2 linked regions of the Pelodiscus sinensis genome follow. The protein of the gene in region 2 interacts with the protein of the main gene of each other region in a pairwise test. Links are inferred from orthologs where the notes say so. Each region holds a gene or a part of one and is shown on either strand. Other genes may lie near its edges.

Region 1 (16,402 bases), on a different chromosome or scaffold from region 2:
CCATTCATTTAAATAAGAGAACCATAATGAGGATTAGAATTCATGTCTGTGTGTGTGTAAAACTTTTATACAGGGAAAGCTCATCAGGTAAGCTCCCTTTATCAATGGGAGAGAGAGATGCACGCTGGTTGCTCTCCCCCACCATAATTATTTACAGTAGGCCTGATAGTAAACAAGTGTTTAAGTGATTGCAAATGAAGACAGATCAATGTAAGTTACTTAATTTAAACAAATAGAAGATACATAGCTAGTTCTAATACATGAAGAAACTTGTTATATGCAAATTCTTACCTTAAACAGTTTATTTCAGGTATAAGCTTCAAACCAGAGACAAGCTCTTACTGTGACACGCGTAAAAAAAATGACACGCGTAAAAAAAAATAGAGCCAGCAGATTGTAGATTACATGAGATTATTTAAAGCATCTTTGAGTTATGCATATTCATTTTCACAAGCCAAATTTTATAAAACATCAGGGCAGGGAAAGGGCTATTCACATTAACTCCAAGTCCTGCACCTGGCTGACTCACCCTAGAAAGCCCCAGAGGCCTATGGTTTTGAAAGTGGCCGTTAATTTGGGGTTGCCAAACCTGAGACACTTTGGGCCTGATTTCTGAAGGCAGTGAATTGAATAGGAGCTGTGGGTGCTCAGCATCTCTGTATATCAGACCAAGCATGTCTCAATTTTGGCACTTAAAATCAGTCACCACTGTTGTTTTCCTTAACCTCTCTGTGTCTTAGTTTTACAGATGAGCAAACCAACGTAGTAACTTGTACCGTAAGTAACATGTGAAATTAAATGTCAGATATCTGACCACATACAGGGAGAAAATTGTCCTTCCATCCCTGTAGGCAGACTCCTTTTCCTGTGTGGAGAGAGACCTGTATTCTTTATTGGAGAATTACAATACCTTAACAATACCTCAAACCAAAAACCCCAGAGGGACTGCCCCAAAGTCACAGCAAAGCTCAGGTATTGACATGGGGAAATGCCAGGGAAAGAAAACAAAAATAGATAAATAGCATCTAGCTACAACGAGACACATCCTGAAACTACGGCAAAGGACAGAGTACAAAAGGATGCAGGTAGTGAACTATGAATAAAAGTGTTCCAGAGTTAGAAACCTTACCTCTACAGTCCTTGAAAGGTTTTAACTCAGGATTGTAAGTAGTACCAACCATACTCTTTCAAATGCTGTATCAGGACATAAGGCAAATAAAGATCCCTTCAGAATGGGGCTATGTTATTTAAGACTTTAAATACTACCAATAAGACTATGAATCATACTGGATAGAAAAGAGGCAGCCAGAGCTACTTTCTGCTTCTACATAAAAAGTCGCTTAAATTTTGCCCTAAACGATAGCTCCATCACTATAGACCAGCTGCTTCTTAAGCCCTTGTCATTCCTGTTGCCAGTGCATAGAACAGAAGTTGAAGATGGAAAAGCAGTATGTAAGGGCCCCAATATAGGAAAGGTTTTAAGTACATGTTTCTTTTTCTGTATATGACTAAGTCATTGGGTCTGATTCTTCTGAGATGTATATCAATTTTATGCCTGTGCATCTCCACTACTTGAGTGGAGCTACAACAAGGGAAGCATCACACCTATAACATTTATATTATTGTCTTGCATCTTACAAAAATATAAATGTGGTGAAAGGTTTATCAGTATTCATGTGGGAGGACCTGAACATTCATGACTGCACTGATCATGAGTAACATGTGGTTGCCAAAATGATTCTGATGAAATCTTTAGTCCACACAAAATCAACATGACTTCCATGTGTACATGCACACCCATGCTCATAACTTGCTTAAGCAAAATCATGTATTCTGCATTTCCTAGGATAGTATGTGTAAAAAATATTTAGGAATCCCCTTTATATGCTAAATGCAGTTGATAAAGGTAATTTAGCCATGTATAGAAATCATCTGCTTTTTGTCATTGTGGTGGCATATGTGCTCCTCATCACAGGTGGGAGCCTCTTCCTGAGTGGGATGCTACCTGATTGGCCACAAGGTAGCTAGCCATTTCTACAGTTCACGAAATAATCAGTCTCCAGGGAACCCCGAGCCCACACATGACCTTGTCCCCCAGATCGTGTCACCTAATGGCCTAAGTCAGTAAGAAGCCCTCTAGTCCAGGGAACATGGCACACTGGCTAGGGTTGATAATGTTGGGGCTAACATCCTGGTAGGGGAACCTGGGTCCACCCTACTCCACCAGGTCTCGACCCAGGGTCCTGTGAGCAGCAGCACTGCCTACCACTCCCCCGGCAGGGAATCTGGCAGAAACACACCAAGGCTGTGTCTATACTGCACCCCTTTTCCGGAAAAGGGATGCAGATTAGACACATCTGAATAGCAAAATCCACGGGGGATTTAAATATCCCCCGCGGCATTTGCATTTACATGGCTGCCGCTTTTTTCCGGCTTGGGGATAAGCCGGAGAAAAGCGCCAGTCTAGACGTGATTCTCCGGAAAATAAGCCCTTTTCCAGAGGATCTCTTATTCCTACTTTCAAGCCGGAAAAAAGCGGCAGCCATGTAAATGCAAATGCCGCGGGGGATATTTAAAGGGTAAATTTGGAGTAACGGGCCCTGGGGAGGAAGAACATAAAACAATGCTCAATTATCTTAAAACAACTAACTTCAGCAAGAACCTGATTCTGTGGCAGCCCCATGAGTTCAACGGCAGAAGTATCCGTGTGGCTCAGGCTATGAGTGGTAAGTCTTTGAGCAATTCTATGTCCCCACCAATCAATGGACCATATTTGCTGCAGCATGGTATTAGTGGAGTCATTTACACCTGTTCAAAGCTGGTGTAAAATGCTACCAAATCAGAATTATAGGGCAGCCTGACTGCTTCTCATGTTGTCACCACTTACACCTATATAGAATGGTGGTCAAATGCGGTATCTCCATTTCAGTAGCATTTTATAGTTATTTTACACTGGTGGTATATCTGGTGACACAGTATACACCAACTAAAGAACTGGGCCTACTGTCTTTGCATATTTAGCATAAATGAATCCTGGAAAGAGATTTAACATCTCAGTTTATCTGAATGGCTTTTTTTAAAAAAATAAAAATAAAAACAGGCAGCTTATAATTTATTTGCCATCTCTTTTTTGTTGCACTGATAAGCCTCAAGACAGTTAAGACCAAAGCAGATTGTGAAGAGATTCAAAAAGTTCTCAACAAACTAAGTGATTGGGCAACAAAATAGCAAATGAAATTTAATGTTGAGAAATGTAAAGTAATGCACAATGGAAAAATAACCCCAACTACACATACAATATGATGGGGACTATTTTAGCTAGAACTACTCAAGGGAGAGATCTTGGCGTCATTGTGGATAAATCTCTGAAAACATCCACTCAGTGTGCAGTGCAGTCCAAAAAGCAAACAGAATGTTAGGAATCATTAAAAAAGGGATAGAGAATAAAACAGAATATTTTATTGCCTCTATATAAAATCATGGTACACCCACATCATGAATACTGCACAGATGTGGTCACCTCATCTCAAAAAAGATATATTGGCATTGGAAAAGGTTCAGCAAAGGGCAACAAAAATGATTAGGGGTTTGAAGTAAGGATGTTAAGTAATGGTTAATTTACTAGTCAATAGGCACTTCTGCATTCCTCCTTTGAAATGTACAAGAGCCCCTACTGGGAACTCCGCATGCACCCCGGGCCAGTGGGAAGTCCCGCTGCCTCTGGGCTGCATGCGGGTTCCAGCTTTGAAATGTACAAAGAGCACAGGCTCTTGTATGTTTCAAAAGAGGAATGCAGAAGTGGACAGCACTTCACCACTGAGCTGGGGATCAGCTGTGCTGGCACTGCCCCTTTGAAAGCCGCCTCGGCATTTCAAAGGGGCAGCACTGCACAGCTGATCCCCGGCTTAGCTGTGCGACACTGTTCCTTTCAAATGCCGAGGCAGTGTTTCAAAGGGACAGTGCTACACTGCTGAGCAGGGGATCAGCTGTGCAGCACTGCCCCTTCGAACACCACCTCAGTGTTTCAAAGCAGCAGTGCCACACAGCTGATCCTGGGCTCAGCTATGTGGCGCTGCCACTTTGAAGTACCACCTCTTTCCCCCTCTTTGCTGCCTCCAGCTGATAGAGGCAGCTGGGGAGGGGGAGGAAATCAACTAGTAGACTAGTCCTTAACATCCCTAGTTTAGAGTGGTCCCATATGAAGAGGGATTAAAAAGACTTGGATTTTTCAGTTTAGAAAAGAGGAGACTAAGGGAGGATATGATAGAGGTCTATAAAATCTTGACTGGTGTGGAAAATATGAATAAGGAAAAGTTATTTACTTGTATCCAGAATATAAGAACTAGGAATCACTAAATGAAATTAATAAGCAGCAGGTTTAAAACAAACAAAAGGAGGTTTTTCTTCACCCAGCACACAGTCAACCTGTGGAACTCCTTGCCAGAGGATGTGGTGAAGGCTAGGACTTTAACAGGGTTCAAAAAAGAGCTAGATAGATTCATGGAGGTTAGGTCCATCAATGGCTATAAGCCAGTATGGGGAGGAATGGTGTCCCTAGTCTCTGTTTGTCTGGAAATGGATGACAGAGGAGGGATCACTTGATGATTACCTGTTATGTTCCCTCCCTCTGGGCAGGGGCGGATATACGGCAGGGCGAACGGGGCGGCCGCCCCGGGCCCCGCACTTCAGAAAGCCCCGCGCATGCGCCGTGGCACCGCTGCGCATGCGCATGGCGTCACTGCGCATGCACCGTGGCAAAGGGGGGGCCCCGTGGAAGTATGCTGCCCGGGGCCCCGCAAAACCGTCATCTGCCCCTGCCTCTGGGAGTGGCATTGGCCACTCTTGGCAGACAGAATACTGGGCTACATGAACCAATATGGCCGTTCTATGTTTTTATGTTCTCTTTTGCCGTAAGGTAAACAAGACGGGCCATGTCTACCACCTTTTCTTACACTAAATAGTTCTTAATCATTCATATAGTTTTACTGAAGTCAATAGACTACTCATATAAATACTTTTCAACAAATGCAGAATTTGGCCTTGTTTGACTGAAGAAGTGATGAAATCAAATCATGGTCTGTTTTAAAAAAATTGTTTATATGTCCTGCTTTTGTTAAAGTGAATGAATTCTGCACTAAGAGCTATATAGACAGGCCCCTGCACCTGAGAAAAGCCATTTCTCCATATGGAGTCCAGCTGATTTATGGGATTCTGCATGAGCCAACATCTTTCCCAGGATACCTTGCAGCACAAAATTGTGCCTACAGAGATCTCAGTGCAGCATCAGAGCCTACCTGAAGATAAGGGAAGGAAAGTACCACTAACTTAATGTTTATTAATGTACTTTTCCCCCTTTGTGCTCCTTCACGTTAGCTAACAAGTTATGTGATGTACCATATTCAGATCCACAAATGGACAGAAACAATAGGTAATGAGGCCCTAGTCTATCCATGACAGGTTACTTTTCAGATGCATGTTCCTTAATTCCTTCAAAAAAGAATTAGACTGAAAAAAATCTGCAATATTTAAATCTAAAATGAAAATTATCTGTTTTTCTATACATCCTAAAATGCTTTTGGCCGAGGAAGAACTTTTGATATAGGCAGGCTATTCTCTAAGGCTATGTCTACATTGTACGCTTATTTTGAAATAACTCATGTTATTTTGAAATAACAGAGTGTGCGTCTAAACAGCGAGCCTGTTATTTTGAAATAATTTGAAATAATTTAAAAATAACAGGCTTCTTACTCCGACTTCTGTAACTCTCATTTTATGAGGAGTAAGGGAAGTCAAAAGAAAGTGTTCTTCCCTCGACTTCCTGCTGTGTAGACAGTGCCAAAAATCGAGTTAAGGTACTTCGACTTCACTTATGCAATTAACGTAGCTGAAGTTGCGTATCTTAACTTGACTTTGGACCCTAACTGCCTACTGCAGGGTTTCTTGCACCTTCCTCTGAAGCAGCTGGTACTGGCTTCTGTCAGAGACAAATTGCACCAACCAGATCACTGGTATTCTATCTTCCTCAAAGGATGGGGGGAGGGAAGGAGTACTTCTGTAGTCAGCCTGCCAAAGAAAGTGTGTTAAAACCGTCTAACCCACCCCTAGCCTTTGCAGGGAGATGGCAGAAAGGCCATTTGCCTCCTGTGTACTGGAGGCCTGTCTGGTTGCAGTGCATAAAATATACATTATGCCTAAACCATGCACTGTTAAGAAAATGCCTACTGTCATCCTAAGCAGAAGCAGGATGGAGCATCAGTTGCGTAAATAAATTGCAAACTCATGTTTCCCCGTAAACTGCTCCACAGTACTGGTTTCTTTTTTTGGTAAACTAGATAAGTACAAAATGCTACAAGCACAGTATAAAGCATCCTGGGTGGTTAGAATGCATGTACTCTTGCTACTGCTCAGCTTTTACTTGCTACAGGATGTTTTTACTTTCCATTTAGCAACACCCCTATGACAGCAACAGCCATCCAGTCATGGGCTGGCTACAGATGTGTATTTTATATAATGGTAAAACAGTTCTCAAAATATATTTGCTTATTATGTGCATATCAATTATTATTTACTGCTGTATCTGTTATTAAATCTGAAAAGCCCATTGGGATGAAAGATGCTATAAAATAGTTTATAACCTGAAGAGTTTGGACAAAGTATAACCAACAGAACAAAGCCTATTTGATTTATTGGAGTAAGCATCCACTCTGAAAAACAGTGGGTTGTTTTCACATGTGGATGCCACTAAAAGGCTTTCAACTTTGAAATTGGGACTCTGTGGACTCATAAATTCAGATTTCATCAGGATTGGTTCAGATCTTTCTGGAGCACAGAGATGGGTGGGTTTTTGGGGTGAGACTTTTAAAACAGTTCTGTGTCTTCTGTGAGAACACTTAAATCAAATCCAGAATATCTGAAGTTGGTCACCCAAAAATCAAAGCACCAAACTGGAACAGTTTTGGCTTGAAGAGCCTATGGTCCTTTATTGTAAGAGCAGGAAATTTACCCTGGTAAGGTAAAAGCAAAACCTCCTTTGCCAGATGCATTTGCCTTACTTGCTGCAGCCCTTCCACCCAGAGGTGGCTGCATTTGGTGCTGCTATACTACATAGTTTAGGTACTTTATCATCTTTTGTCAGGCAAAGTTATCTCTATATAACATTCCCTGCATGGTGGATTCATTTTCTTTTTTAGGTCATGCATCTGATTACAGCTAGGGAAGGAAAGAAAGGGACCGTAGAGCTTCTATTCGAGCACTCTAGTGTTTATCCCCAGTCCCTAACTGAACTGCAGCCCGATCTTCTCTTCCTCACAGCAACACAATAAATCCACCAGCAGTACGGGTAGATGGACCCCTCCTCCTTCACTTTCCTGAGCGCCTCCCCTTTCACTTGCTTGAAACAGGACACACCTCTCCAAAACTGTTGGCTAGTTTCAGCTGCTTATTTGCATAGACTCCTCATCTCCAATCAGCAATTGCTGCCTATTTAATATGCATAAAGCCGGCCACTCAGTAGGCTGGGGGCCGGGCCACCACGTGCTGTTGCTAAGCTTCGGCTTCTAAATTGTTACTGTAGTGGCTGGCCTATCAGGGAGAAGATTCAGATCTGTCAACATTCTGTTTCCAAACCTGAGGGAGCTTGTTTTTCCTGATTGGTTCTACTTTGGAGCTAAAGCCCGCCTCTTTTTAGACATGCCGTCCATGATTGGCTATGTCAATCGCCTGTCGCCTGTGTGTCAAATGTAGGTTGAGAGAGGTGGTTTATATAGGGGACTTGGAAGTCCCCAGCCTGTGAACTCAGTGCAGTTTCTGATGCTTATTGCCTTCCTCAGCTGTTTGAAAGGCAGACAATCAGATACAGAGTTTGATAACTCAAAGAACACATATAAAATGGAGCTGAACTCTCTGTTAATTCTTCTGGAAGCAGCTGAGTATTTGGAAAGAAGAGACAGAGGTATTCAGAAAAAATGACTAGCAGGCACTTATAACATTTAACTCTCTTTGTTGCGTGGGTATTCGGACGCCCTTTTCTCCGAGTCCACATTTCCTTCACCTGCACAAGTGCCCTATGTTTTTGTTAGATGCACTGCAGAGGGGGCAGAACAAATGCAGTTTTCTTGCAATTTTTTTAAACAAACAAGCTATGGCTCGAATCGGTTTGGATTGTATGTATGTTGAAGTTTTCATATATGTTACATTGTTGTGTGTTGCCGTTTGCGATTGTATTGCAGTTTTCCCCTTTCCCTTGTCAAAATGTTTCAAGATTTGCATGATCTAGCCATGTTTTACTGTTTACTTAGATGATCCTCCTATTTTGGCACTTTTCGTTTTGTTGTGTTTCTTTTAAAAATCCGGAATAAAAGCTAAACAAATCAACCAACATTTTGTTTTTTACCCTAGCGTTCCTGCAAAGGAGGAAAAAATGCATGGAAAAATATATTGCCACTAATGCTGACTTTGTCCCTAGAAGCAGAACATGGCTATGCATCAGTGTTACCCTTCGATAGTGACTATTCCAGAAAGAAAACAAAGGCAGGCACCCTGGCCAGAAAATCCCAGAATAACAGGTAAAAGCTGTACCATCGTTTTCTACAGTGAATTAGCAACTTTTCCTATATGTGTAAGTTTATGTGCAGCTCATAGATGTATACAAATAATAACTAATCCTGTCGCTTAGTTCCCAGTAGTCGCCATTTTTCCCCTGTATGGGCTTGGCTCTGTTTTGATCTCTCATATAAACACTGCCACGCGTACACCATCGCCTTAGCACTCACTGCCTTTCTGAACCATCTGCACTCACGCGTCTTCGCCTGGTTTGTTTATGAATGTGCGCTGTTTTCCCATGCATTTTAAAATAATAATCAAAATCCTGACTTCCCTTGCATGACACTAATTCCCTCCCAGGACTTATTTACAATCTCTTTATTGCTGCGAGAGCAAATACAGCCTCCAGTTGCAGTGTAACGCCGGGATCTTGATGAGGGGAGAGTGGGGGGAAAGGGATGAAAACGTGGCTCCAATTATACTGGGACTTTTGTATGCATTTTAAAATGTTTCGAATGAACTTGACCTCTGCGGACGGTCTGAGGCATTTTTGCCCTGGTCAGTGCAGCAGCTGCCTGAGCGAGTCGCTCCGCATGCAGCATTATTACAATGCATAGTTACATTATGATCAGCTGCTTTTTGTTTGTTTGTTTGTTTCTTGCAGCCACTACCTGTGCTGTGATCACCATTAGCTCAAGGTTTCTGCGCAGCCTCCCTGCAGCTTTGTTTGGCTGACCAGGCAGTGCTCAGAGTGCAACTGTCTACGTGCAGAAGGCTGTCTTAAAGAGACAGCGCCTCCTCTTTACGTGGGAATTCCTTCTTTTCTTGCACTTTATGTTCTTGAGGGGGGAGGAGACCAGATGGTTCCCTCCTTCTGCAGACCATTGGTGCTCTCTGCTCTTAACAAAATGACTCCTTAAAAAAATTGTTGTTGAATATGATGAGCCCTGCAGAATAGCCTAAAACAAACAAAACTTGCATATGACATTTTTCAAATGAAAGGAAAGTTGGCAAAATTCTTTGATCTCACTTACTCCAGCGTAAATGCTGCAGAACCCCAGTGTAGTCAGTGAGATTGCTCTGGATTTACACTGGTGAAATGGGAAAGTAGAAATCGGCCCAGTCATGGATATTAAAGTTTGAAGATATGAACTAAGCAAAAAGCAAACAGCTTGCTCAGAAAAATACAAGATCACAATGAGCTGTGTTTGCAGTAACCACTGCAGGGAAATGTGCTTGAACACGATTGAGGGGAATAGAAGGTGTAAATCCTTCCCCTGGCCATCCCTGACTCCAAATAGCGATGAATGCTGATATTTCTGGGAATATACATTCAGGAGTGGGGGGAAGTAATAGTAAAATTGGTTACAAAGATACAATATCAGTTGATTTTTAAATGTGAATTACCAGGAATCACAGAGGTGCCTAGATTTTGAGACACTGTTCATCTATATACATGTTACCTCTGAATTTTTTGATAAAGTAACCATATTGTGCAAAAGCAGTTATTTAAACAGGATTCTAGGGTTTCAATTCTAATTCTAGAGTTTGTGGATTTGCTCCAATCCTTGTTTCTTGTACGGAAGAGAGAGAAATCTGTATTACTTGGGGAACCTTCATTCCATCATTTCCTTTCTTGGGTTTCTTGCTGTCCACAGCAAAACAGTTCTTTGAATTTTTAGCAGAGGATATATAATCTATCAATTTCAGCAGAATTAAAAGATTCCTTGTTAGAGGTTTGACGGGCTTATCAAAGCCAGAGCACACATCATTACTGACGGATTGTCTGATATTTCTCCTAATATTTTTTTCACTCTAATGCTTGCCACGCACACACAAACGCTTTTAAAAAAATGCATAATGATCTTTTTATTGTTTTATTACCAGCTTTATTTGTTACAGACTAAAAAGGGCTCATTCATAGTGTGTGTGGGATAGGGCAATACCTCTGGAGAAGTAGGTTCAGCCGTGGCTAAGGCCACAAATTCAGTCTCCATGTTTAGTTCACCGTGGATATTTGTCCACATCCTAAAGAAAACAGCAATCTCTATAGACAGTCTCTATAACACAGACCGACCCATGGCTGGAAATAGCAGGTTGTTGCGATACGGGGTTGAGGTGCATTGGCAGAGGTGTTTGAGCAGTCCTACATTGTGCTTGCCTACAACATGCCTGTTTTTATCTGTTACTTAAGCTCGTAGGTTCAGATGCAGCTTTATTTCAAATGTATGATCCCAAATTCAAATAGTACCACCTCTCTTATTCATTTTGGGAGCATAGGCGCTGGTGCTAGGGGTGCTCAGAGTCTGCTGAACCTCTTGGCTTGAAGTGGTTTCCATTAGATACAGGGTTTACAGTTTGGTTCAATGACTTGTAGCACTATCCAAATTGTTCCAGCACCCTTGTTTGGGAGCAAATGTCAGGTTATTCGGTTGTCAGGTCACAGCCTCAGAGTGCATAGAATTTGAATGTATTGTTCAATTTGATCATGCAATCAAATCTTTATAAGCAGTTCAAGGGATTAAGAAGGGGCTAGACAACTGGCCAGATTTCGGACGATCCTGAGTGGAAAAGAATAAAATTAACTAGTCAGGCAACCCTTTTTTGGCTGGTTTATTTTAATCACTTTACAGAATCTCAATGCATGGATAGGTGCAGGCATGATTGGGTGTGAATATCTGGAGGGCCATCTCTTTGTGCTCTGGAGTTGTTTTTTTAAAAGGTGGGGGGAGGGCGACTGCATATTGCAAAATTGCAGAATGTTATTTTTTCAGTAACTTGGTTATTTCTAAATCCTATTTCTTCTAGAAGTCTCAGCAGGTTTGAAAATTAACCTTTGCCTATATCATTTGAGCACAAATAAAACACATAAACAATTGTTTTTAAAGCTTGAAAAGCATCTCTTTCATGCAAGGATAACTCCAAAGTGGGTCACAGAATTGTATTGAATTTAAAAAATTAAATTAGCCTCTGGACTGAGAACAAGCATGAGAAATTTCAATTCAAATCTCTCCTCATACTTAAAAAAAAAATAACAGGCAATTGGACACAGGTTCATATAGGGAAAAAAATGTTTCTTCAGCCACAGCTGTGACTATTAACAAAAGTCAGCTCACTGAAAGAGTTCATATTTTGTATATTTTTGTTTGTTGATGTTTTTGTTTAAAATATCACTCGGTGAGTTTTAATTTTATGTTGCTATAGAAAACATTTTCATGTTACTGTGAAGACAGCAGAAAATGTTGCTTGATGACATTTTTGCCCCATCTCTGTATAAGAAATATTAGTTTTTAATAGATTGATGTATACATTTCCTTATGATGTCCAGTCCGTTGCCCTTGAATCAGGCTATATTTATATGTTCCCACTTTATACAAAACAGACTTGAAAGGGTTTTTTAAGAAAAACTTCTTTGTGTCTATGGCATTCTCTCCTAAGGTTCAGAAGTGTTTCCCCCAGATGCTTATTATGAAAATTCCTTAGTAGATTAAACTGGATTTTTGGTTTCCAGTCTGAATGGATGATTCGAAAAAGGTGCAAGTTTGTAATTGATTTTTTCTGGGGGAGGGAAGATAAACCCATGTCAGCGTCTCTTGTAATGGTGATAACTAGACATTATTTGGCCATTGTGTAGTAAATGTCTCCTTTGGATAGAGTAATAATAGTAGTTCCTAAAAGCAATACAGTGGAGCTTGTTAAAATTATTGCTAATACACAATTGGAATAAAATCAGGCTAGAAAAAATTCAGTTAGTAGAGTTGTGCCTTGGAGGTTGCAATGTTAAATTTTCAAATGTCTTTCCATGTAGTACAGTGAGTATAATAAAATGGATGTATTACAGATGTCTGCAGTTTGTTAAGAGGGAATATTTCACAGAAGCAGAAAGTCAAAGAAGTTCAGAAGATTACTTGGTTGCAGAAAGTCATTTGTAAATAGGAATTCACTGTAGCTTGCAGATAATTGGAGCTTTCTTGTTTTGTTTCCTGTTTGTGATGCCGACTTAACAGAGATAAGCCTATGCATTTTTGTGTTTATATAAGGGGGAAAACCGGTAGCCTGAACTGACCCCCTTGTGGACAGTGGCCCACAGCACAGTACAGTTAGACAAGCCTGATTCTCCATTGCCTGGTACTTTGTGCAGTCTCTTATCACTGAACAGTGGGTGTAAAACACTATAATTTATCTTCGCATGAGTGTAAAAGACCACAAAGCAGCAGACGATCAGGCCCAGTGTGTGTTCTGGCCAATGAAAAGATAAGAAGTAAGTAAATATGCAGAATAAAACCTTAGTGCTCGATCCCTGACTATTGGGGCACAGTTAGATTTACTGGCAGAGCAGGAAACTGGAAGTCTGTGAAGTAGCCTGCTTGGCCTATTAATTTAGAAGCCGATGAAAAAGAGGGGAAAATGAAAGCAAAACTTAGATTTATAAATATCCCCACTGCCTTGATTGAAACTAATCAGTATTTATATTTGATATTTTATATCAATGGATATAGTTGTGAACAATGTACTGTGCTCTGGTGAAGGATATATGTGCAAAAGGATGTGGTGGGTCAAAACTGCACGTTTCAAATGAAAATATTGTTTAATGTCTCCATTGCTTGTCTGTCACTGCAAACCAGTCTGATTTCTGTCTGACACTGCTCTTTGCAGACTAGAAGTGTGTGAATTGTTCAGCTAAAATTCTTTCAGCCAAAAAATGCAGATTTGGGTCAAATGAAACCTTTTGTGAATTTGTATTGACTTTGTGGTGAATTGTTTGGTTGCATTGGAAAAAAAGGGGGAAAAACCCTTCAGAAATGTCAAAAGCAATCGTTTTGACATTTCTGAAGTGTCTCATTTTGATTTTTTCAGGCGAGGTTCATACACCAGAAATAGTGATGGTGTCCCTCTTATAACCATTAGCTTAGTACATAGGGAAGTAACCTGGGATGACTGTAGAGTCCTACTGTCTCTGGCCAATGGCTATTAAAGTACAGATTGTACCTCTAAAATCTGGGATTCTCTGGTCCGGCAACATCCATGGTCCGGCACGCTTCAGGGGAGTGAAGACCCGGAAGCTGGTGGCTCATTTGGGCTGCAAGGTGAGAGCCAGGAGCCGGCCTGCAGCTCAGTTGGGCTGCTGGAGTTGGCGTGCAGCTCAGCGGGGCTGTGGAGGAGTGCCAGGAGCCGGCCTGCAACTCAGTTGGGCTTCAGGAGTTGGCTTGCAGCTCAGCGGGGCTGCGGGGGAGTGCCAGGAGCCAGCATGTGGCTCAGCTGGGCTGGGAAGGTGTGGGAGCTGGCGTGTGGTTCAGCTGGGCTGTGGGGAAAACCAGGAAGTGGGGAGAGGAAGCGGGGAGAGGCCCCTGAAATGACCACCCCGATCTGGAAAAATCCCTCATCTGGGACTAGTCAGGTCCTGAAGGTGCCAGATCAGGGATGTCTAACCTGTGTTTCATATAAAATGGCACAGCTCCAGTGCAGATGGACCTCTAGATCCAGAAGGAGTATTTTAGAGTTTGGGACTTATTTTCTTTCATTTATTAAATGACAGTCTGAGAATAAAATAACTCAAAATCCAGACTGCGGAAAAACAATGATGTGTTTTGCACTCTCTGAACTAAGTGTATCCTTCTTGTTTATTTTTTTCCCCTAGGAAAGTGAGTCCTGAAGGAAAATTATCTATATTACTGAACGTATAAAGCAAATAATGCTAGTCATTCTTCTGCTCTACTCTGCGCTGATTAGGCCTCAATTGGAGTATTGTGTCCAGTTCTGGGCATCACATTTCAAGAAAGATGTGAAGAAATTGGAGAAGATCTAGAGAAGAGCAACAAGAATGATTAAAGATCTAGAGAACATGAGCTATGGGGGAAGACTGACAGAACTGGGCTTGTTTAGTTTTGGAAAGGAGAAGACTGAGAGGGGACATGACAGCAGTTTTCAGGTATCTAAAAAGGTGTCACAAGGAGGAGGGAGAAAAATAGTTCTCCTTAGCCTCTGAGGATAGGACAAGAAGCCATGGACAAGGGAGGTTTAGGTTGGACATCAGGAAAAATTTCCTGTCAGGGTGGTTAAATGCTGGAGTAAGTTTCCTAGAGAGGTTGTGGAATCTCCATCTCTGGAGATATTTAAGAGCAGGTTAGATAGATATCTATCAGGGATGGTCTAGACAGTACTGGGTCCTGCCGCGAGGGCAGGGGACTGGACTCAATGACCTCTCAAGGTCCCTTCCAGTTCTAGTGTTCTATGATTCTAGTGCTGCATTAATCAAATACATCTTGTAAGTTGAGGAAGTTTCTTATGAGGAAGTATAGTATGTATGACAGCAGCAGTCATTATGTGTTTTGTTTAAGTCACCTAATGACATGCAATGTCAGACCTCGCTCTTACATACAGATATGTCATACAAACTCTACAGTCTCACTAGAGTCAGAGTTCTGCATACAGGACTGCGCCAATGCATCCATTTGTGGAATCCTAGCCTTTTTCCATAATATTGGCAAAATTCTGCTTTGAGGTGGAACTAAAAGAGAAATAGTTTTAAGAGTTATGATGTGATAATTAAAGAAAAAAAAAGGAGGGGAGCAGTCAGACTCAAAGAATGCAGATCTGAGGTTGTGTTTTAACCACTCAAATATCAGGTAATCCAAAGTTCATCCCGGGTCTTGCAATGTGCCCAGCTGCAGATTGGTATGCTGGCACCAAACTCTAATAAAGCCAATTGAGACCTTAAAGTTGAAAATGTATTCTCCTTCTCTCTGTATGTCTATTACATTGTGTAACTCCAGCACATGCTGGTCATCAGCAGGCAGAATTGAACCTGTGTCCTCTGGAGCATAGTACATGAGCCTCTACCACCCTGGTGTCTAACCAGTTCTGTGCTATAGTGAACTAGCCACACTCAACTGGCTAAAAAGTTGCATGTGGCTAGTGTGTTGGATTCCACGGCTCTGCCACATGTGTCTACTACCAGAGGCTGGAGAGCAGACTGCTTATTCTGTCTCTGTAAATGGTTTCAGTGCCACTATATGGGACAGTACACCACACCCAGGAGGTGTGTGGGTTACAATTGCAGACTCTTATTAGATGATCACATGCTGTTTCCTAAATAATACATTGTCACGTTTATTTGTGTGCTTTTCCTCCATTGTGGATATATGCATGTAGCATCTTGTGGGGCTTACCACTCTGTTCTTGTGTTTTGGCCTTGCCTAATATTTCTTAAATATATTTTCAATGCTGACAACACACCAGTATTGCTAGGCATCTCTTACCGTCATTTTAAGCACACTGTCCATGAGACTGCTATAATAGACTTGGGACTTAAAATATTGGGGGCAGCCAATGTTTGCACTGCAGTAGTGCCTGGCACTTACAGGCTAGATTATGATGTGACACAAGAGGAAGATGGAAGAAGTGAGTGGAGAAAGGAGGGAGAAAGATGAGCTAACAGGAAAGCATTCAAACTGCATAATGTTGTGCCCATATCTCAGCTCACACCTGCAGAGCCAGTGCAAATTGATAAACAGGGGTTTTAGCCTTTTAACCTTAATTTAGATATTTCATGGCATGTGGGCTTTTTAACATGTAGTCCTAGCACATCACACTAATATGATATCTGAAAGGTAACTTTCTAAAGATACTTTTTAATAGGAAAAAAAGATGTGGAGGGGAGTTTTTGTCTTCCCTATTAAGAACTCTGCTGGTTTATAAAATATTACAATTAGAGAATGTAAATGCCATACTTTAGAATTACTTGCACAGGGACCCTTTAGGTGTTGCCATTCCTCACTCAGACAGTAGTAGAAAATATGTGCCCCTTATCCTTATTTGGTAATTTGCTTTTTAAAAGAATCAGAGCTTAGAATTTCACACC
Region 2 (15,630 bases):
GATCACAGAGGCGAACACTAAGGCTTGTCCCACTGGAGAGCTTGCCCAGGTTTCACTGTGGGTACTTTTCGTAAAGAAACATCACTAAATGTTCTTTCCAATTATTGTGTCTTACCAGGCAACTGAGCTACTTGATGCAATTCTGGAGGGCTACCCCAAAAGCAAGAAACAGTTCTTTGTAAGTACAACCATATCCACCTGCCTTTGACTAACACGAATCCACGGGTACCTACCGCAGGTGGTGTCACCTTCAACAAGTCCCCTAATGCTGGAAAGGGCCCTGTTTCTGAATTCTCCCTGTGCTGTCCCGCCAGCATAACTCTGCTTTGTGCTCCTGCGTTGTTCTTGTGCAGGAGGAAGTTGGGATAGAGACGGATGAGGATTACAATGTCACTTTGCCCGTGGCTGTCTGAGTTGCTGGCAGGAGCCGCTGCTTCGGGGGAGAGAACAGGCCAGTGTGGAACCCAACCGAAGCCGCTTCTGAAACTTGCACTGTTTGTAGGGCTTGGTTTTGTCCTGCGTCTTGCATGCATGTTTGTTTTAAAATGCTTTGCAGTCAGGAAGGTGGCTGCAGGGGTTGAGGCAGCTCCAGGCCCTACCACATTCTCATTTGCAATGGAGTCCTGTTTTTATGATCCTTTTGTTGCAGTGGGCATTGGGAGGGTGCCTCTCCCCTGGGCTATGGGTGTGTTGGACTGTCAACAAGTAGGTGAATGTGTTCTAGCAAAGGGAGGAAAGAAGCACCTAGGAGAGGGGAAAGAAACTAGTTATTAGTTTTGTAGGGTTGTACTGGCATCTCAGTGTATTTAATAAAGAGGGTGGGAAGCGCTGCCCACAGCATCTACCATGCTGTAATGTTGTATACAGGAGTATGATTCATTAAACACCACTGTCTCATCTTAGCCTGGCTTCTTCCCTAATTATTTCTTAGCCTGCCTGGTGGTAGCAAGACTGGCCTCCCAACTGCTCTCTGGAGTACAGACGTTAAAATGAGTGTAATTAAGTAATTGTGTAACTGCTGGAAAGTCGGCTTCCATCTGATGCCAGGTGGCAACAGGTGGCTCCCTGGGAGCCTGCATGTAACTGTGAACATTACCCAGCAGGCTCATGGGTTAACTGTGTCCATGGTTTCACATCCCTTCTCTGGAGTCTTGCCCATGAAAAGGAGGCTGTGTGTATTCCAGTCTGGTTTAACGAGGGTTTTGAGAGTTGGACTCCCCTGTAGGGGGGGAATGTGCAGATAGAGAGGGTTGTTCCAATACAGCTGCCATAACACTAACTAAGGAGTCAAATTGGGCAACCAGACATCACCAATCCCTTCTGAAAAATTGGCCCTGGACTCATCAGCTGATAGCAACCCAGTGATTCTGTGTCAGCAGTAAACAAACTGGAGAGGAGACACTTTTACAATGCTTAGCAAAAATTTATTATAATTACTTTCCAAGATAGAAAAATATTTCCTTTCCCCCTGAGTGAGGTCTGTAAAAAGCAATGCCCTTGGAGAAATGCACATGCCACTTATTAGTAAACAGCACAGGCTTTTGCTTCTGCAAACAGGGTGCTTTCCTGACAGCCAAGCAACCTCTTACAAGAGTTCTGTGTCTGAGCTTGAACTGCCTGAGCAGTAGCTGCCCCTGGTGTGTGCAGTTCACTTCAGCGTTAGACATGTTGCTGCAAATAAATGCTTGGACTTCCTGGGGGCTGTCTGCTGCATTTGCACTGACTGAGGTGCTCTGTGGAAGTGTTTTCTTTTATAAAATCCAAGACCAACAGGAACATTTCCTTGGTTACATGGAAAACGTCAGTTAAAACTTTATGCCTCAGCGTTTGAAAGGCAAACAGCCAGCACTAAGAAACGACCACCGAAGGAAATGCACAACAGCCACTCTCACTGGATTTTTAGAGGTGTGGGCACATAATTGGAAATGAACAAATAATGTAGTAAGAGATTCACTTTGGTGGAGTAATTCCAATAGCGTCACCTTGTCTGAGTAGTAAAAAGCCATTGCTGCTTTAGCGGACAGCTGCCTGTTGCTGTTAAGATTTCTGGGGTGCTAAAGAAAGAATCAGGGTGTAGCTGGTTTAAATTGTCCCAGACAAGCAGCTGTCTGCAAAATGTAAACTGATAGCAGGTTAGTGTGATTTTTTTTTTCAATTCATTACAAAAATCAAGGCTTTATTATATATAAAACTATATAGTTCTAAACAAGAGGAGACGTCTAATTAGTCTGTGCTACACTATTCTACTTTCCCAGACAGTATGACTTCATTGTAAGTGCCAAGTAATATAAAGCCCGACAGATCAGCCTCTGTGCCGATAAAGCTAGAGAAGCCTGTAAAGAAAGCTGCATTCATCTGCAATTGTTTAGGACCCGGGGCAAGAGTCAGGCCAAGGCAGCAGCTGGCTCAAGCCAAGGCCAAAGCTATTGTCATCTGTGCGAGAGTCCCTTTGACACTGTTCCTCACCTCTCCATGTGGCAGTGATGGGCCTGCTTCCTTGGCATGCCTTTTTGAAAGTCATTCTGCACCAGGGAAACAAGCAGCCGTCGGTCCCTAGGCAGGACGAGGTGATTGGGACACACCAGAATCACTAGTCCCGAACCCGTCTCATCGGTAACTAGAACCAGCTGCTTCAGAGACAGGTTCAAGAAATCCTGCAAGGGTGGGAAACCTGTCCAAGGGACACTTCTTCCTAAGCCCCGTTGGTAGAGGTCAGTGTGTAGCCTGGTGCAGGAGGGTTTATAGCTCAGCCAGAGCTCTTTAATAGGGTGGGGGAAGAGAGGTCTCCCTGCCTGTTGCTGGGCCACAGTCCCTGCTGCCATTCACAGCCCCATGGGGTGATGCAATGTCAGCAAGTGCATAGCCTGAAACCAGCCGTGTTCAGCAGCTCCCAGCCAGGCTCTGTGGTTTCCAGGCCCTGCATCCTCACAGGCAGTAGTCAGACTGCAGGCCATTCCCCTCTCCCTCTGCCCAGAGCAGGCCAGGCAGCAAAGTGCTGAGCACCCGCCACCACTGTAGGGAGTCAGGCGCAGGAAAGGCCTAGTTGCTGCTGTGCCAGTTTGGTGAGACCCTCCCCCTCCTTCCTTCTCGGCAATAAGAAGTGTATTTAATCCACATTTAAATTCCCTTCTCTGCCGAGTCCCTACGGACCCTCTGGTGCTACAGACTGCGACAGGGTCTGTGGAGAGGTATGTACAGCCTAGTTTTGGTTTTGGCCAATACAATAAATAATCCAGAGAGAAGCTTTAAGAACAACCACAAGGGAAATAGACCAGCTATTCCTGGAGCCTGTTTCCCAGTTGGGCCGTGCTCTGCAGCTGTCTGGGTGAAGGACACAGGCCCAGGCTGCTGGGACCCGGGCAGGAACAACAGTCAGTAGAGCTGATTCTTCAGCTGATGCAGAACCCCCAGCACGATGTCGCGCAGAGTCTGAGAAGGAGGAGAAGGAGGAGGCAGGATCAGTCACCCCGCGAGACAGACGAACATTTGCCTTGGCAATGCCTCAGCGGCTTCCAGCGCAGACCCAGGAACTCCTTACAGAGCGGGAAAAGTGAATAGAAAGGCAGCTGGGTACCCACTGCCCCACCCAAGCACAGGTAGGTTTAATCGCAACATACCTAGGGGAGGTACCGTATTACTGGGAGTATGGGACCTACCAGCTTGGATCAGAGGAAGGACTCAGCCTGGTCAGTTTCCTGTCAGACTGTAGCAGAATCAGCTGCTTTAGAGGAAAAAAGCTTAGTGCAAGCAGGTGTGGTACAGAGGGTCCCTGCTATAAGTCGCCCCGGTATACATCTGTTCCACACTAAAGTTGCTGATGTTTGTAGAAACTGATGCATTATAAGTCATGCGAAACACTCCCCCCAGTTTGCTTAAACGGAAGTCAGCCGTGGGGAAAAAATTACGTGCTTTAAGTTAGTGATAGATATGTAGCCTTGTTAGTCTGGTGTGGCTGAAACAAAAAGCTTTAAGTTGTTTCGCTATAAGTCCAAGTTTTTTGGAATGTATCTTGGACTTCTAGCAAGGGCCCCCTGTATACCCACTTGCCTCTCAGGGTATGTCTATGCAGTGCCACGTAGCTCAAAATAAGCTATGCAATTCGAGCTACGCAAATTGCATAGCTTATTTTGAAAGAGTCTATTTATTTAATTTCGAAATAGACCATTATTCCAACAAGTCCCTTAATCCTCATGGAACAAGGTTCACCGGGATGTCGGAATAGCAAGCCCGTTATTTCGGGATACCGGACATATCCCGAAATAGCACCGCTGTCTAGACGTACCCTTAGGGAAGGTTTCTGTCCTATCAAAGCTTGCTTTAGCTGGAGAACAAGAGCCCCTGTAAAAACTCAAAAACCATCAAATAGTCCTGCAGCACCCTGGAGACTAGCTAAGTGCCGAAGGGTATCTCTACGCAGAAAAGAACCTCACCGCAATGAATTTCAGAGCTAGGGGCAAGTCCCATGAAGGTGCTTGCCCCATGTCATGCACTGTACGGCTCCTAGAGCTTACCTGTGGCTTACAATGCTCCTCAATCCAGCTGAAGACACACGCGGAAAGTTCCTGAAAACTTGCTACCGAGATGGAGGCATTAAAGGACTGGAACAGTGAATCCATAATGCCTTGGAAAACATTAAACTTGACTTGGTCAGAGACCTGGTCTTTCCCCTCATTCGGATTATCCTGATGAGCTTTCACAATCTGCTCATAGTTTCTGAAACAGACCAAAGAAACCTGGGTAAAATGGCAGGCCAGGGAAGCTAGTTCTGGCCTGAGACACTCTCCAAAGATCTGTTTGAGGTGAAAGAGACTCAGGGACGTGCTGCAGTGTTTGTGGAAGGGCCTTAACTGTGCTTGTTAGGACTGAAGGTAGCGCTCTTGCTGGTTGTAGGGTTAAGTTAGCAGGCTCTGGGCTTTAAGTTCCTTGAGGGGAATAAATACAGGGAAATTGTGGCCTCCCTTCTGTGTTGGAGAGGACACCCAGGAGCAGGCTGGGTCTCCTTGTTCAGAGTCGGTACAGCCCTACGGACAGTCCCTGGGCTTAAGCCATGTCCCCACGCGCTGTACTGGGATCTGCGTCAAGCCCAGATTCACAAAAGAGCCAGGTAGTAACCAGCTCTAGGATGGAATGACACGGAACAGGTGGAGGGGGGAGATGAGCACTTACAGCATGTGCTGCAGTATGCAAATGTACCCATCTCCCGGGGTGGGGTGGGGGTGTGAAACTGTTCCTTACACTTTCATGATCTTCAAAGCTGTGACATCTTTCCTGAGGGTAGAAACGTCCTCCTCCTGCTTCTTCTTCTCCTTGTGGAGGAACTGAATGTAGTCAATGGCTGCAGGGGAGGAGAGGGGAGGGGAGAATTTTAGAATAGATCAGTGATGTCACTCTGCAGGGGGCAGGAGGACGGTGGGGCCTCTGCAGGATTGATGCATGGCTGTCGATTTCTTCCCTGCAGACCTCATGCATCCAAACTGACCAGGAGGCAGTCTCCCAACTCCTCTCCTGAGAGTCCCAATGCGTCATACCCCAGCTCCAAGGAGAGGGGAGCCAGGTGCTCTAGATCATATGCTGGGAAGAGTCCCAGACTCCTAAGCCCTAGACCCAGTCTTCCTGCCTCAACCCAAGTGATTTCAATGCCTGTGAGCAGCAAGGAGGGGCTGACAGGTGGGTGTGTGGGGGTTGAACTAGGTAGCTAGTGCTTCACCCTGCAACACTGTGCCTCCTTTGCCTTGCTAGGCTGATTGCACCAGTGTTACTCAGCCTCAGCAGGAGATCAGGGGAGCAGTAACCTGCAGAGCTGAGTAGGGAGGAAGCAGACAGCTCAGTGAGGCCTGACACAAGATGCCTATTAGTTTGGTTTTGAGTGTCTGCAGGGAAGGTTTTACAGCCTGGGGGGGCTCTCCACATTGAACCCCCATGAACAGAGGGTGGCCAGTGCCCCACTCCCCCTCCGGACTCACTCTTCTGCAGGACGATGGCTTTGCTCAGTTTCTGGGAGCCGATGGAGAAGTCCTGCTGCTGGCACGTGGGGACAATGGCCTGCAAGTCGTCGTAGCCTTTCTGTGGAGGAGCAGAGCAGAAGTGACAAGGTGTTGTGGATTCAACAGCAGCGGATGATTAGAGCTGGCTGAGTCAGTGTTTAACAAGGTGTAAATCTACAGCTCCCACGGGTTCATCTGAACCCCTACAGCATCCTGAACGCCTGGGTTACCTTGATGGCATCTCGTCTCTTCTGCTCAGCCTGAGTGTGGGCACGTCTGCGCCGGTCCTTGTAGGACTCTTTGTAGGTTTCCTGGCGATAATCGCTGTCTTCATCATCTGCAGCAGAAGAATGGGCACCGCTGGCTCGGGGGCACGTGGCAGCTCCCAGAGCCCAGGAAGCAGACACAAAAACTGCTGAGGCCACACAGACACCAGGCAGTGTCTGCGCTGGGGAGCATTTCAACTGTGCCAGAGGGCTGGACTAGCTCCACACAGCTTTTCCAAAAGGAGGGGGCCAAACACAGTAAAGATCCACCTGTCTAAGGACATCTCTGCTAGCAACAGTCCACAGTGTGTGAGCAGCTGGGGTAATTCATTATAGGGAAGGCTGATACTGGATACCACCTGCTTCTCCCGCAGACCCCAGGGCTGGGTCCTGGCTTGTCTAGGCAAGATTCTTACTAGCAGGGCTCTGCTGCATTGGAGTCTGCCCCAGGAATTTCAAGGCACTGGGTGTCTAAGCAGAGATCCCTTCCATAGAGAGACCAGCTTTTCAGCACTTCCTGGAAATGAGGCCTCTAAGGTGTCTCAGCCTGAGCATCCATCACCACTCGGCATTTGAAATTCTTGGCAAAGAAGTTTCGTCAGCCCCTCGCTCCAGCTCTCCTCTGTTCTCCATGGTCAGGGGAGTCCCATCAAACTGCCCTGCAGCAAGCCACGATGCCCTCCCTGGGCTTCCCTACCATTCTCCCTAGCCAAGGACAAGATGTCTGCACTAGCTGGCAGAGGAAGCTCCTGCAATCACGGTCTCGTACAGAACAACTCCTAAGGAGACCGAGACTGAACAGGAATATGAGTGAGAGAGTGGGAAAAGCCCCTATTGTGTGAGACGCTGCTGGAACATGGAGAAGGACCATACCTGTATTGGGGACCGAGGAGGCACTGGTGGAGCCAATGCTGTTGGCTCGGGATACTATGCTTCCTTTCCTAGTGCTTTCCACAAAGAATGCTGAAAGAGAAAACACCGTAGCATATTTTCCTACATCATGCAAGAGGAGGTAAGTGTCACTAAACCTGAGACACTGTAAACTGGACACAGAAGGGATCAACTTTACAAGGCAAATTACAGGGTAACTAGCTCCCAGACAGAGTGCAGATAGATGCAATGAATGCTGAAATGCCACTGGGACCCGACGTGAAACCTTGCTGTGCTTGAATTGGTTAACTCTAATATCCTTTGCACTGCAGTTTCCCCAAAATAAATTTCAGGAGACATGAGAAGGGCTCCACAAACCTCTTACTGATGGAGCACAAAATACAATGATGATTTTATCTGTGCTGCTTTTCCAAGGAGCAGATATGTCTTGCTTTAAAGAGAGAGTGCAGATTTGGACCAAATTCAACTAGACTGTACTTCTCCTAGTAGCCTAAACTAGAGCAGCAGTACTCAAACGTTTTGGGCTGCGGAGCCCTTTACATGTGTAAAAAGTTATGTGGAGCCCTAGCAGTCCACTGATTGTGTGTGTGTTGAACTTATGCAGAGCCCCAGCCGTCCACTGATTGTAGGGGTTGCACCTCTCCATGTTTCCAGTTTGTCAACCTCGCGGCGCCCCTGGAGATAGCTGGGGGAGCCCTGGGGCTCTGTGGAGCACAGTTTGAGAAACGATGAACTAGAGCCAAGGACAGAAACGACTCCAGCTCCCTGGCCCATTGAGGCAGCTGTGGCCTGATGGGAGTGTGGGAGAAGGGGACACGGGGGGATCTACTCACAGGCATCCAACCCGCTGTCGCTGTAGGCAGACTCCACCTGGGGCGGGGCGGGGTGAGCGAATTGCAGCAGGAGAGAGAGAGACACAAACCAGGCAGTGAGCGAGCCGTTTCCTCTTTCGGGCACGTGCCTTTTTGCGCAACAAGCCATTATCCCACCACGTGACAGCACGTTGGGGTCCCATGGGGGTCGCCCCCCCCCCCCCGGCCCTGTGGTCACCCCCCCAGCTGATTCATTCCGTGACCTCTGACCCCCTCCGTGGGGGGACCCCTCCGCCTCCGTGAGTGGGGGGCGGGGCCGGGCAGCGCCGCCCTCTCCCGGGGAGACGGGGCCTCGCGGTGTGTCCCGCGCCGGCCGCCGTCCCGCCCTGGGGACTCACCTTCCCCCAGGGGTCCTCGGGCGAGGTGCTCGCCTGCTCCGCCATCTTCCCCAGGGCTCGGTCATGTGACCACCGGGCGGCAGCCAATCGCAGCGCTCGCCCCCCGGCGGGGACAGGGGGATCCGGGAGACGCCTCCCGCGGGGGCTGACGGGAGCTGTAGTTCCACCGCGCGGGGTGACGGCGGCCGAACCCAGGGTTCTGCGCCACCAGGGGGCGCCGTGACACTGAGGATTCTAAGCCGGGCCGCGAGCCACGTGGCGTGGGGGGGGGAGGAGGGAACCACGTGTCAATGCTGCGAGGGGCGGGACTCTGACCTCACATGACCCCAGCCCCTGCCCTGAGGCTGACCTTTGACTCAGGAGACCCCATTTCCGATCTAGGGCCCTAGGGCTGGGTCCTTGGCCTCGTGTGACCCCCACGCGGTGCCCTCTCCTTGACCTCTTGCCGTGGGGCAGGCCCTGCAGCCACCGCCTACCTACTTCCTGTCTGTGGGCCTCCCCCCAGCTACCCAGCCCCATGGGACCCTGGGAAGGGGGGCTCCCGCCTTGGCCGGGAACTGCCCCTTCCTCTGAGGAGGCCTCAGCCCCTGGAGCAGGGCATGGGGCTGGGCTCCTGGGGGCAGGGAGCACTGTCCCGCCCTGCTGTGATGTGTGCACTCTTGGGGCTGGGCAGCGCTGCTCACCGAGGGGGGGGCTTTGAGCCACTCAGGTGATGGGGCGGGAGGCAGCTGCCTCAAGGAGGTGGCTGGCGCTGTCCCTGCACGAATTTCTTTTGGGACATTCCCAGCTGATCCCTGCAACGGGGCCCTGGCAGCACTTGCTGCAGCAGGCTCAGTGTTTGCTCTGTCGCTCCTGCCACCGTCAGTGGCCTCCTGCTGGCTGCGTGGGCCTCCCCAAGGACCCTGCAGCCTGGGCTTCCTCCTAGCAGGAAACGAGCTTCCCAGGACACTGCAGGGGCTGAGGCTGTCTCACTCCCAGCGCCAGCAGGAAGAGCCAGCCCCTGGGGCCCGACAGAGCTGGGTACAAAGGAATCAGAGACATGACTGGATGCCGGGGGAGAGGGGAGGTGTCCTCCCAGGGCAGCACAAAGCAGAAAGGGCCAGTGGAGCAGGCGGGGCAGGGAATGGGCATCCCAGTCATGTCTCTGATTCCTTTGTACCCAGCTCTGTCGGGCCCTTGCCTGCAGCCCATGAGTGCTCTACAGCCCTGAGACAGAGCCTGCCCCAGCACTGCCAGCTGGGTGCCGTGAGCACACGGAAGTGACATGCAAACGTCACACCTGCCCTGACGCAAGTGAGGCCCTGCCTCTGCCCCTGCCTCGGCAGCACCACCAGGGCCCCAGGCTGGCAGCAGCCCAAGGTGTGTGATGAGCATAGCCCCAGGGCTCAGCTCTCATGCTGCCTGCATGCCACACACCTCACCCCACCTGCCCAGGAAACCCCCCCAGCTAGGCCTAAGCCCCAGGGAAAATCACCACGATTCCTCCCCTGTGCAAGGCACTTGCTGGCCCCCAGTACTGAGCTGCAGTAGCAATGGGCTTCGCCTTCCCCCCACCCTGTGGGGACACACAGCACCTGGGGCGCAGGGTGGATGAGGTGACTTGCCGCAGGTCGTGGAGACATGCTGTGTCAGAGTCAGGAATGGCCAGCCAGGGCTGCTGATGCCCTTCACCACTAGGAACCGGGCCACCCATCTCCCTGGGAGTCGCCCAGCCTGGCAGCCTGTCCCAGCAGCTGCCGCTGGCACAGAATGCACCTCGCCACTTGACCATTTCTGCACCTGGTGTGACCAGCCAGTGCTCCAAAGCAGGACAGGCCACAGTCTGCCTTGGCCAGCTCCCTCCTCCTCCCCCCCACGCGGTGTCAGCCCATCCCCTCCTCCCCCCCGCAGCCCAGGACCCATGCGCTGCAATTGGGCAGTGGGACGCACACCCTGGGGCACAGGCCATGTTGACTCAGTCAGATGGGGCTGGAGAACCTGCCTCTTCCATTGCATCAGTGGGAGTCTCTGCCAAAGCAGGCAGGCAGGTCCCTTCCCATCCCCCTGCAAGGGCAGCCTCCCTGGAGACGCACCCCCAGGCTAGTGCACCACGGAACCCCCCCCCCCCCCCCAAGCACACACGGAGCCCTGCTTCCTACGCAGCCCCACTGCCCACTGCAGCCCCCGGGCGAGGCACGCTGGGCAGGGTGCTGCTAGCTGGGCACCCCTCTCCCACTGGGGGAGGCTGCCCCTGCTCCAAGCTTTGAGCAGAGAACACGGGAGCCACGTGGCCACCGCCCTGAGCCCCTGGGCCCAACCTCGACTCGGCGTGTGACCCTCCAGCAGCCACCAGTGCCCCGGGAGTGCCACAGAGCAGCGACACTTCCCTAGGGCACCCCTGGCTCCCCTCCCTGCCCCCTCACCAGAACATGCCCCCTTAGCCTACATCCCAACACGACGTCACATTCTCCAGCCTATGCCAGGGGCCGTTGATTCCTGCTGCTGGCGTAATCGGCCCCGAGATAACAGCCACCTTCTGTCCCCGGCCTGGCCCTTCTGACGCTGGTTGCCCGGCTCGCACAAAGTCCACTGCTGACGTGCCCCTGCCCCCCCCCCCCCAACTTGGCTGCGGCCCAAGGGGACTCAAAGGGCACACGGCACAGTCCTGCTGCACTGAGCCAGGCCTGAGATGCCAAGCGCAGCCAGCACAAGCTCGCGCGTCCCCTGAGGGGTGCGAAGGGAACAGCCCTGGGGGGCCGCACTGACCCATTCCTATAGGCTGCTACCTGGCCAGGAGTCGCCCCCAGGCCCTGCGTGGCTCGGTGCTGCACAGACAGACCCATCTCAGGCAGCGGGATGAGAGATTTGTGCAGGGGACACTCCAGACCCAGGCAGGCTCCTGGGAGTCTCTCTGGAGGATGCCGGATGCCTGGAGCCACCTCCTCTGACTCCCAGCTGCTCACAGGCCCCGGTCCCCAGCCCTGGTACCACAGGGCACCTGCAGTGAGGGTCTCCCACCCCGAGGTGCCTGCCTGGCACTGGGGGATTTTGAGGGCTCAGCACCCAAGCCAGGGGAAACGCTGCAGGCAGGGCCGGGCTGGGGGACCCCCTCCCCCCAGCCTCCTTCAGAACCTTGTCTGGATCTCCCGGCGCCAATAGCCTGCGCAGCACCAGGATCTGGGAGGGGGAGGGGCAAGGACCATTCCTGGGGCCACGAAGCCCCTGGCCTGGCCCAGCATGTCCCTCTGGCTGGGCCCTTCCAGGGCACCGCGTAGGGGCTGTTTACGAGAGCAGCTGTGATGCAGAGCTGGGGGAGAGCGCCAGGAACCCGGGTCTTCCCGCCTGCAAAGCCGTGCCCCTCGCGGCACAGAGAAAACATTCTGTGCTCTCCTCCTGCCCCAGCGCCCGGCGCCCCTCCCCAGAGCCACAAGCCAGGGGAATTGCTGCAGGCAGGGCCGGGCTGGGGGCTGCCCCCCAGCCTCCTTCAGAACCTTGCCCGGATCTTCCTGCTCCAATAGCCTGTGCAGCAGCGATCGGTGGGGCTGCCCAACCCTCCCCTCCCCTTCCCTTCGCATGGTTTGGGCAGCTGCCTACCCAGCCCCTACCCAGGGGAGGCCAAAGAGCTCAGCAGGGTGGGATGGGCGGGCTGTGGTAACCCCCTGCACCCCAGTTGAACAGCCTGGGCCATGCCCACAGGTTGCAGTTCGGCCAATTGGTTCTGTTGGGGATCTAGTTCATTGGGGGATGCTAACGGGGAAGGAAGGAGCAGGCAGCTCCCAGGGGGTTCTGGCACCGACTGGCTTCAGCTCTGTGAAGCTGGAGGGGGCAGCGGCTCCTTTGCCACCTTCCTGCGGGAAGGGCAAGTCCTGGAACCTGAGCACCAGCCCAGAGGCTGCCAGGAGGCCCTGGGCCCAGAGATGGAATGGCAGACCCGCCGGATCCCCTGCGCAGACACCCAATTGGCAAGTGGCAGGTGCCAGCCTATGGAGGGACTGGAGCTTCATCAGTCTGAGAAGCTGCCCCTGGGACTCAGCCCCTTCCCACTAGGCATTGCAGCCACACTCCCCAGCACCAGCGTGGGGCCCTTCGACCAGCAGCACCGATGCAGTCCAGGGGACTTTGCATTCAGCAGAAGGGGGCCGGGAAGACTCAAAATGGGGGGATGGGCCCTTCACCTTCACACTGACGCGCTGGGATGCAAGCGGGGCAGCTGCCAGCACTCACAACCCCCCGCCTAGCCGCACCGGGCAAAGCCTGTGTCACACCAGATCACAGGCAAGTTCCCTGCCAGGGGAGGGCTAGTCATGGTTTCACGGCTGGATGCCTCACATGAGGTGCCTCCAAACTGTTACCCCCCCCCTCCAAGAGTGGTCGTGCGTGGCCGTGAAATGGGCAGGAAGCTGGGCTCCACACTGGATTCCCCCCTTCCTGCTCCCAAGGCATTTCCTGTTTGCTCAGTGCACCGAGACATCCCGGTGACTTCACTTCCCAGACGCGGGGGGAGGAGGCTGCCGAGAAGCGATCCAGAAGCCAAGGCTGGCGGGTGAGGAAATGTTCGGAACGACAAAGCTTCATTGCACATTTTATTGAGGTCACATGAAAACCAGAACATTTAAAAAAAAACCAAGACACAGAGCCTCTTAATACTGGATATAGCAGCAGGCCCAGAGATCAGGCCAAGGGCATTAAATAGAACCAAAAAAGGATTAAAAAAAATAATTTCTCTCCAGGGCGCGTGGTTAAATAGACATAAATAGACCCAGGGATGGGGCGGGGATGGGGGGGGCGTCCAGCCAAAAATCTGGACAGAATGAAACGAAGACAAAGTCTTCTGCTGTGCTCCCAGGAGGGTCCCACTGTGGCAGGAGAAGCTGCGCTGGAGGCGGCGTCACATGCAGCGGGCTGCCCGCACACGCTTCTGGGGCCGCCGGGCCGCCTGCGGGCCGTACGTCTTCTCGGCCCACCTCTCAAAGGCTGCCACCATCTGCTTCACCACCTCATTGAAGAACAGCTGGGCCAGGTGGGAATGCAGGATGGACTTGAACTCAAAGGAGACCTGTGGGGGGGGGGACACAGAGCTTAGCAGAGCCAGGGGGTGCGTGGCCAGGCAATTACGCACACGCCTGGGGACCAGGGCAGGACTTGCCAGCAAGATGGGGGGGGGGGGGGGGGCTGGCCTGTCTGAAGCATTCATCGACCCCGCATGTGACCTGCCTTGAGCGACCGCTCTGTGCAGGGGCCTCTTCCACCCCACGCCCGGCCCAGCCTGCCTCGGGGACAGGCCCGGAGGGGAATACTCACATAGAACTCTAAAGTGCAGGTGTCCGGCTGCCCTGGCAGCCCCGGGCCAAAGCTCCAGACGGTCTCCAGGTGGCGGAAGAGGTGGCCGTCATTGCACACAGCCTGCGGGAGGAAAGGCGGCTCGCGTCAAGTTTCAGCTGAGCGGAGAGGCGGGAAAGTCAATGCCCCCCCAGCCACATCCCCGCGGAGAGCCCGGGAGCCATAGACACAGGGCCTGCGGCGGCCAGGAAGAACCAGGCTTCCTGTTCGCGTCTGAGCAAACCTTTGCACAAGTCAGTGAATGTGGAAACAGCTGCACAGGCTGTGCGGTCACCCGCCAACCCCCATCCCTCGAGTGGCTGCCGGCTCGCTTGGGCACAAGCTCCCTATCCGGCAGCTGCCCCGAACGCCGACGTCAGCGCATCCCCAGCCCTGATCTGCCAGGAACTGGACCCAGGACAGTTCGGCGCTGGGTGCCACCCAGGTTTGGCTTGGCTCCTTGGAGCCCAGCTGTTCCCTCAGCAGGAGGGATGGGGTGTTGGGGGCTGCCTCTCACACAGCAACTTTTTGAGAGGGGAGCAGCCGGGATCAAAGCCATAAGAACAGGAGGTCTGTCTGGGAACCACAGTAGCCCGTTCCAAGACCAGCCTCTGTGCCCCTGCTTGACACGCTTCGGGCCAGTGATCAGAGGTGCCGAGCACCTGCAGCGAGTTGTGAGTGCTCAGCTCCTCCCAGCTAAGCCCCAGGCTCCCTGGCGGCCCCTTACCCGGATCTGGTGCTGGGGAGTCAGGGAGATCTCAGAGATGTAGCGCTCCACGAAGGGCGCGAAGCCGACCTCCAGCTCGGCCCGCGTCAGCCCTTGGCGGCAGGACAGGACCTTGGAGCTGCTGCACCACGGCACGAAGTGCTGGTAGCTCTCCACGTCGGCCACCACGTTGTACATCTGCTCCGTGGAGTAGCTGGGGGGGGAGAGACAAGCCGCCCGTGAGCAGGGGCCGGGGTGACAGGAGGCCGGCAGGAGCTCACGTTTCACAGGGTAGCGGGCAGAATCCTTGGCCAGGAGTTTATCAGGCCCGGGAACCCACCTGCACCCCACCCCCTCCCCTGGGTAACAAGCCCCAGCCCCCTCCAGAGGCAATTCCAACTCCCACCCCCTCGGCCAGGTTCCTGCAGCCCCCCCCCTCGGAGCCACACACTCACCCCAGGACTCGCATCTCCGAATACTCCATCCGCTTGCTGCCCAGCTGCGCAGCCGCCAGGTTCAGGAAGCTCCGCGCAGGCAGCACCAAGGCCGGGGTGACGGGAGGTCGCTTGGGGACTTGCAGAGCCAGGAGCCCACAGGAACTTAAATGCCTGAAACACAGGAGGCCGGTTCCAAGGGGTGAGCGACAGGGCACATCCCGGGGGGCAGCCCAGCCTCGTGGGTGTGGGCGGGGAACACCCCCGGGTAGCGCAGCCCTCGATCCCCCCGTGGGTCCAGCTTTCCTCTCAGCCCCAGCGCACTCCAATCCACGCGCACCCCAATCTCCCAAGACTGATCCCCGGCAGCACTTGGGGGGTGCCCCCGATCTCCCAACACTGACCCCCGGCAGCACTTGGGGGGTGCCCCCCGATCTCCCAATGACCCCCGGCAGCACTTGGGGGGCGCCCCCGATCTCCCAATGAGCCCCGGCAGCACTTGGGGGGCGCCCCCGATCTCCCAATAGTGACCCCGTCAGGACTCGGGGGGCGCCCCCCACTCTCCCAACACTGACCCCCGACAGCACTTGGGGGGCGCCCCCGATCTCCCAATGAGCCCCGGCAGCACTTGGGGGGCGCCCCCACTCTCCCAATAGTGACCCCGGCAGGACTCGGGGGGCGCCCCCCACTCTCCCAACACTGACCCCCGACAGCACTTGGGGGGCGCCCCCACTCTCCCAACACTGACCCCACCAGCTGGGGCAGGACCCGCGGGCCCGGGGCCCGGCTCAGCTCCCTAGGTCCGGCCCTTACCCAGTCCCGTCCCCGCGGCGCGGGCGGC

Evidence for each region.
Region 1: the proteins of MLX (region 2) and MXD4 interact in a two-hybrid assay, tested with the Homo sapiens proteins (2 studies listed by BioGRID). The link is inferred for Pelodiscus sinensis from reciprocal best matches to the Homo sapiens genes MLX and MXD4.

Annotation. Positions count from the first base shown.
Region 1 is NC_134715.1:117,917,703-117,934,104, forward strand, and holds the start of MXD4 (max dimerization protein 4), read left to right. Parts: upstream 1-7,747; 5' UTR 7,748-7,809; coding exon 7,810-7,951; intron 7,952-7,989; exon of another isoform or gene 7,990-8,103; coding exon of another isoform or gene 8,104-8,166; intron 8,167-8,397; coding exon of another isoform or gene 8,398-8,464; coding exon 8,465-8,564; intron 8,565-16,402. UniProt on the Homo sapiens protein: Transcriptional repressor. Binds with MAX to form a sequence-specific DNA-binding protein complex which recognizes the core sequence 5'-CAC[GA]TG-3'.
Region 2 is NC_134739.1:8,861,868-8,877,497, forward strand, and holds MLX (max-like protein X), read right to left. Parts: upstream 8,472-15,630; 5' UTR 8,397-8,471; coding exon 8,352-8,396; intron 8,012-8,351; coding exon 7,975-8,011; intron 7,214-7,974; coding exon 7,124-7,213; intron 6,322-7,123; coding exon 6,215-6,321; intron 6,064-6,214; coding exon 5,964-6,063; intron 5,336-5,963; coding exon 5,236-5,335; intron 4,714-5,235; coding exon 4,512-4,713; intron 3,430-4,511; coding exon 3,373-3,429; 3' UTR 414-3,372; downstream 1-413. Other genes in the region: PSMC3IP (homologous-pairing protein 2 homolog), read left to right, coding at 119-178, 354-413; coenzyme Q-binding protein COQ10 homolog B, mitochondrial-like, read right to left, coding at 13,219-13,386, 13,632-13,733, 14,377-14,569, 14,811-14,963, 15,603-15,630. UniProt on the Homo sapiens protein: Transcription regulator. Forms a sequence-specific DNA-binding protein complex with MAD1, MAD4, MNT, WBSCR14 and MLXIP which recognizes the core sequence 5'-CACGTG-3'. The TCFL4-MAD1, TCFL4-MAD4, TCFL4-WBSCR14 complexes are transcriptional repressors.